Xenopus tropicalis: one gene and its partner. The protein of the gene in region 2 interacts with the protein of the main gene of each other region in a pairwise test. Links are inferred from orthologs where the notes say so. Each region holds a gene or a part of one and is shown on either strand. Other genes may lie near its edges.

Region 1 (3,757 bases), on a different chromosome or scaffold from region 2:
CAACGCACCAGAGGTCACCCCTTTAGATTAAAGGGGACGGAGCTTCCATTTGAAGCAGCGTAGGTGGTTTTTCACGGTGAGGGCAGTGAGGTTGTGGAATGCCCTTCCTAGAGATGTGGTAATGGCAGATTCTGTTAATGCCTTTAAGAGGGGCCTGGATGAGTTCTTGAACAAGCAGAATATCCAAGGCTATTGTGATACTAATATCTACAGTTAGTATTAGTGGTTGTATATATAGTTTATGTATGTGAGTATATAGATTGGTAGGTGTGGGTTGTGTGTGCTGGGTTTACTTGGATGGGTTGAACTTGATGGACTCTGGTCTTTTTTCAACTCTATGTAACTATGTAACCTGTGCCTTTTCTCTTTTTTTCCAGGTAGAATGGCTGCCCCCATGGCTACACAGCAGCTTATTTATATAAGCTATAGTACCATTACTTTAGCAAATACACAACTTGACCTGTGCAGGGTAACAGTACATTATAGTTTAAATACTTTAATACACTTTCATTTTTGGCATTACTGTTCCTTCAAGAGAGAACTAAAGACTACCTCTTGGAGAACCAGAGCCGTCTCTCGCTATATCCCAATAGCACTTGATATTTCCCTAATGCTCACTGTGGATGTTCAGTAAGCATTCTGCAATATCACACATATGGGCCCATTTATGAATGTACAAATTTAGATTGTGTTAAAATACGATTTGCGAAAATTCGTATACTTAACGATAATTTCTGATGTGTGGAAATGTTCAGAATGTGGTATAGATCGTGGTACGATCCAAAAGTTACGAAATTTTCATATCCAAACAATCGTAAATGGCGCGAAAATCTTTGTGTGACTTTGAACCTTCAGTGCATGTTTTTGGAAGCCACCCATAGGAATCAATGGCACTCTGCAGCTCCAACCTGGCCAAAGGAACGTCACGATACCGAAGCTTGAATGAATTACGAAACTTTCGTACAAATTATCACAAAGTACGAACAAGTCACAGAAATAAACGAAAATATCGTAGAAAATACGCAGAGTTCTAAAAGTTTGAAAAAATACCATTTTTTTGTAATCGTAAACCATCGTACATTGATAAATGGGCCCCATATTGTGTGTATTTGCAATGACATCAAATAGCACACGCACAGGTTATTAGCAGTGCACTGCAATAGTTCCCCAGTAGACAATCTCCTGGGGTTGAAAGCTCTGGAGCACATGCATAAACTGGGAACTGGTAGTGAATACAAGGTACAGTTGCTTTTAAGGGCACCTTAACAATATAGGGGTGATAGGTGCCCTTTAAAGCAACTGTACCTTGTATTAATTTCTATTTATTATTATACTTTGTACCAACGGATAAACCATCATATCTAATTTATGATAGCTTTCACCCTGACCACACTAAACACTCCATAATCTACAGCCAGGCTCTACGATATAATCGAATATGTTCTGATGCTACTGAAAGGGACCACCACCTAAGAACACTCATGGCAGATTTCATTAACAGGGGCTACAACCCAAGGATTGTGGATCAATATATCCATACAGCCACCAGGATTCCCAGAAGTCAACTTCTACAATACAAACAAAAAACAGAAATAAATTGAATTCCTCTAGTTGTCACATACGATCCCCAACAAAAGACCCTCAGAAAAATAGCCAAGGATCTACAGTGTACACCTCAAAAGGATGAGAGGCTCCAAAACATATTCCCAGACCCACCACTTCTGGCATTCAGGCAGCCCCCAAACCTAAAACAACTAATAACAAGAAGTGCCTTAATTCAACCCAACAAAAAAGGAACTTATCCCTGTGGCAAAAAAACAATGCAAAACCTGCCCACACATCTGTAATTCAGATTTCAGACACATTAGAGGAATACAACATCCATGGTCAGTACAACTGTTCTTCTTCCAATATGGTGTACTTAATACAGTGCACTAGATACTGAACAGGAGGACTGTATATAGGAGAGACTGGTCAAAGCCTGAGAAAAAGAAATACACACCACCGTTTTACTATAAGAACGCGATTTCTGATGGTGGCCCTGGTTCTATCAATTAGATGCTCTGCTGTACAGTGCTTCGTACATAAGTACTGTAATGCTTATACCATGTGGGGTTGATTCTCAGCACATGAAAAACCACAGGCCAAGAATCAGTTCCTTGGGCATCAGCCTCCTACTTTTCCAGGTCAAACCACTGCGTTGGCCCAGGTGCAAGCATACAATATGAATATCCACTCTAAAATGCTAAATTTACAGTTTCTTTGCTGATATCTGCCATGTGTGCCTGCACCCAGGCCAGCCCAATAGTTTCTGGTGCAGGCAAGGTAGGAGGCTGTCAGCGGAGGGACTGATTATCTGCATGCGGGTTTCCATGCGGCATCAGCCGTATATAAATAAGAATATAAATAGTTTATATAAACAAGCTTCTATGCAGCCATGGAGGAAGCACTTCAAGATAAAAAAAGGAGAAAGGCACAGGATACACAGCAGATACCAGATTAACACGAATATACCACCACTGCATTTTATTACAGAGCATATATGTTATATGATATCCAAACCTGTGCCTTTTCTCCTTTTCAACTTAAATGGCTGCAAGACTTCTAGTTCTGCTTTTGCTTTGCAAAAATTGCTCTTCTCGTGTTATCAGTTTTTGGGAGCTGGACTTAAATGTAGAAATTTAGAATTTCGAGTTAAGTTTTTCAACGCAATTTCCACTACCCACCTTTAGTTCACACCGTTTCATTCAAGTTACAAATGGAACTGTCGCAGATTTCTAGGGCGCCCATTAAAGACGTCATCACCGGGCGGAAACGTGCGCAATAAGATGTAATGTAGGTGAATGCGAGGCTAGGGCAAACGCGTGGTGATCATTCTGCTTAGGCAGCGGTACTGGCGTCTGGAGGATGAAGTGGTTGATGCGAAGTTTGAGCTAATCTGTTAGCAGCAATGTTGCTATTTTGCCCGACGTGTGGGAATGTGCTGATCGTGGAGGAGGGACAGAAGTGCTACAGGTTTGCCTGTAATACCTGCCCTTATGTGCACAACGTTAATCGCAAGGTATAATGAGGTCTTCTGAAGTGATAGAAATATGGTTTTAAGCGGCGTAAGTGTAGTCCTGGTGGCTACGAAGCCTTTTTATGCCTTGTGTATGCCAAGCATTGCTAATTGGCAGATAACATTACATTAGCAACAGTACAATGCGCTGATTTTTAAGTGCGGGATGAATCTGTATAAATTGCTAACAACATATTCTGGTAATGGCTGGGGCTTTTAGCTCTAAATTGTGTAAGTTTAATAGACTTACAAAGTTAAAAAGGTGATCTTATCATTTATGTTTTATGATAAATACTAAATAAAATGCATAGTAAATAGATACACCTGCTACCCCCACCCCCCAAAATGAACATTTGAATATACGCATATGACCTGTGATTTTTTTTTTTGTCTGATTTTTGCTAGTTTGTGGCCAAGGTCTTGCTTTTCTTCCTTTTTGGCTATTACCCTTCTGGGAACAAATCATCATAGAAGGGCACACTTTTAACCCTAAATTCACAATACCCAGAACACCACAGCACAATCACTTCCCCTGTGGAAGTGCATTACCTTGCTAAAGCACACTAATATCATAAATATATATTATAAAATGTGTCCTAACACTTTCATAAATAATATCTAAATAAATACATTTGAATATATATTAATACATAGGGAGTTCTGACCGCTAGATACTTATTTGACAAACTTTAAGGGGAA
Region 2 (3,757 bases):
CTAGGGATTATCACTACAGAATGTGCGCGTATCAGTTTCCCATATTGGCTGCAAAGAGAAATGCTTCCAAAATATACAGTAATGTAGATAGATCCACAGCACTGGAGTAATTATTGTACTTTAATTGGGTTCCCATCATGCTTTTTTTGGAGACTTTACTGCAATCCACCAATACGGGGCTCATGTTACAATTACATAGAGATACATGAAATTTGAATGGGCTTGTTCATCTATAAATGAAGTTAAAATACCAATTATATGATACTATATATTTTTTATTAATTTCTTAGCTTTTCATTCAGAAGCTCTTCAGTTAGGAATTTCAGCACCTATCTTGTAGCTAAGGTTTAATTTTCCTTAGTAATCAAAGTGGCTTTCATAAGACACTGCAAGATGATAGGGGTAGTACACTTTTAAAATTAACTTTCAGCATAGTGTAGATGGTGATATTCTAAGAAAATTAGCAATTAGTCTTCATATCTTATTTTTAGTGATTGTTTAATTAAACTTTTTGTTGGTTGGCTCTACAGTTTTGAATTTCAGCAGCTATCTAGTTACCTTAACAACCAGGCAGTGGTTTGAACAATGATCTGAAATATATATTTTTTGGCTACTGGGGTCAGTGACACCCAATTCAAAGGCTGAAAGGGACAGAAGATGATGACAAATAATTAAAAAAACTATAAAACTGAAGGCCATTCGAAAACTTGATAAGAATTGGATATTCTATAAAAAAAAAAAATGTTATGTTAAAGGTACACTACCCATTTAATGGAGTATTTATTCTGTATGGGACAGAGGGTCTGGACATGGTACTAAATATTAATGTCTTAAGCCCAAAGCTGAACCACTGCTCATTCCATATCTGATAGATAACTTTAAGGCTGCATTTAGCTAAAATACAGGAATCCCCTCAAAGTAGATCCAACAAAAAATTGTTTTTGTTAGCTGTTAAAGCCTTCCAAACAAATCACTACAAGACAAAACAAAGCATTATTTTTGACTGATCCCAGAGAAGCCCCTAGTGATCAAACAGGCAAACATCAGATAACTGCAGGTGCAAAGTTTGTTCAGGTCTAGTAACCCATAGCAACCATAGATTCACTTTCAAGCGGTGAAGCAGTAGTTGCTGCATGCTGATTGGCTACCATGAGTTACTAGACCTGAAAAGAACTTTGCAGCTGTATCCATCCCTCACCCAGAGGCACAGAGCTGCGCAAAAGGCGCGAGTCAGCCATGACAATGCACAGTAATATGTATAATCCCATTGGGGAGTACTATATAAATAGCTCTAAATTAAGGGAACAGCTTTGATATGTTACTATTAATACCATACACTTAGCTGTAATAAAGGGTTTTCAGACAAAAATAAATCAAGGGTTACATGCACGGCATGGGTCTAAATACATATTAAAGGAACAGTAACACCAAAAAATGAAAGAGCTTTAAAGTAATAAAAATATAATGCACTGTTGCCCTGCACTGGTAAAACTGGGGTGTTTGCTGCAGTAACACTACTATAATTTATATAATAAGCTGCTGTGTAGCCATGGGGGCAACCATTCAAGCTGGAAAAAAGGAGAAAAGGCACAGGTTACATAGCAGATAACAGATAAGCTCCGTAGAATACAATAGTGTTTTATCTGTTATCTGCTATGTGCCTGTGCCTTTTCTCCTTTGAATGGCTGCCTCCATGGTTACACAGCAGCTTATTGATATAAATTATAGTAGACTTTCTGAAGTAAACACACAACTTTTACCAGTGCAGGGCAGCAGCACATTATATTTTAGTTACTTTTATACACTTTCATTTTTTGGTGTTACTGTTCCTTTAAAGGGGAACTCCACCATTTTTTACAAAGAGAAAGATAATTCTTAAAAAAAATAAACTTTTCAGTATAAAGTCATTATAAATGTTGGCTTTATAGTTGTGTATATAGATTTTTGCAGTCTGCCCCTGTTTCTGAAAAGTTCTCCACCCGGTCTGTTAATCAGCTGGCTCCTGCTATATTTATTATAAAGAGTCCAAACAGCAATGCAGAGCATTTAAAAAGACAAGACTCTTGTTTTCAATTATAATAATATTAGCAGATAACTTTAAAAAAAAACATAGAACAGGGTTGATTAATGTAAATGGGAAAGCTGCTTAGCATCACAGTTTGTTTCATTATTGAATAGACTTGTGGTGGAGTTCCCCTTTAAACAAACAAAGCTATTTAAAGCCAGGCAAGACAAGGTTGGAGAAACAGATTGATTTTAATGATAAGAGAGATAAACAGAGAGACATAATATATAGGAGCCAGGGGACTGCATATCAATATATCACAGCCAGAGGGGGAGGGATGGACAATGGGCTTTATATATATATATATACTGAGGTGCATAACACACTATATACCAGGCTGGGAATAGAAATACATAGAACCCTGCACTGGGGGGAAGGGCCCACGGCTGATTGCGGGGATCTGTCCAGCCCTGTAGCCAAAGCAGCAGCCAACGTGCGTACATACGGACACGACAGAGATAAATATATGTACATTTCTCTTTGGGCCGCTCCGGGTCTCCCCCACCTGGATGAACTCCTCCTCGGCGTAAATATCAATCAGATCGGCCCCGTCCGCCATCCCCGGCCCGGATCCCCCCGAGCGAGGATGCTCAGTTCGGATAGCACTTCCCCCCCTCCCCACTGCCCCAACTTTGTCTCCGCGTCCGTTTTGGTTGCTCCGGTTCCGTTCAGCCACACTGTTCTTCCCCCACTGATAGTCCTCCGCTCTCCGGAATATGCTCTGCTCCCAGACTCCCGCGCAAACCGGAACTTCCGCCGCCTCAGATGCGCGTCAGGGACCCACTTCCGGTAGAGAAGGTCGGGCACCGGAAGTGTACGGAATTGTGACTTACACCGTGACCCGCAAGATGTTCGCGTCAGGGACCAGGTTCCGGTAGAGAAGGTCGGGCACCGGAAGTGTACGGAATTGTGACTTACACCGTGACCCGCAAGATGTTCGCGTCAGGGACCAGGTTCCGGTAGAGAAGGTCGGGCACCGGAAGTGTACGGAATTGTGACTTACACCGTGACCCGCAAGATGTTCGCGTCAGGGACCAGGTTCCGGTAGAGAAGGTCGGGCACCGGAAGTGTACGGAATTGGGATGTTCGCGGCGGGGATGCTGAGAAGAGCCCCTGCGGTGAGAAGCTGTGGGGGCAGAGGGTTACCCTTGTCTTGCACATGTGTCTGTAAACTACGGCACCCAGCATCCTCTCCAGCACAGTTGTCAGATTTATTGGTTCCATCTGTCATGTGATCCCTCTAGCTTTTACCAAGGTTATACATATAGGAACTCCCATGTTATTATCAGCAGCTCAGCAATAGTGCATTCAGTAGCACAGCAAAAGGGCCAAGTAAGTGTTTATCCCCCAAAGGGGCACTATAGTCTCTTAGTCAGCATAAGTGCAGGAACGTATGTCTGTTGTTATTGGATTCCAAGTTTTCTCCCAACAGTCACAACAAAGGGTGAAGGAAGTTGTATGCTGGTAATTCCTTTACCACCCATGGACCAGATATAGAGTAGGTTCGATTTCCTACACGTATGCCATCCTACGTGTGGGTGGGATGGCATTTTGGGGTGATTAGTCGTTAGTCGCTAGGGAAGATTTATCGCAGCGACACATCTCCCCTGTACCACTGCCCATAGGCTAAAGTCCCACTCAGAGATTAGACGCCTGCGATAAATCTCTGATTACAGAGGAGACTAATCTATC

What was found.
Region 1: the proteins of cpsf7 (region 2) and snrnp25 interact in binary tests that used the Homo sapiens proteins (3 or more experiments, as listed by UniProt). The two-hybrid records come from large-scale screens. The link is inferred for Xenopus tropicalis from reciprocal best matches to the Homo sapiens genes CPSF7 and SNRNP25.

Annotation. Positions count from the first base shown.
Region 1 is NC_030685.2:40,339,484-40,343,240, forward strand, and holds the start of snrnp25 (U11/U12 small nuclear ribonucleoprotein 25 kDa protein), read right to left. Parts: upstream 2,753-3,757; 5' UTR 2,748-2,752; coding exon of another isoform or gene 2,727-2,747; intron 2,670-2,726; exon of another isoform or gene 2,563-2,669; intron 1-2,562. Other genes in the region: polr3k (DNA-directed RNA polymerase III subunit RPC10), read left to right, coding at 2,951-3,061.
Region 2 is NC_030680.2:22,867,187-22,870,943, reverse strand, and holds the start of cpsf7 (cleavage and polyadenylation specificity factor subunit 7), read right to left. Parts: upstream 2,779-3,757; 5' UTR 2,625-2,778; coding exon 2,571-2,624; coding exon of another isoform or gene 2,538-2,570; intron 1-2,537. Other genes in the region: sdhaf2 (succinate dehydrogenase assembly factor 2, mitochondrial), read left to right, coding at 3,148-3,183.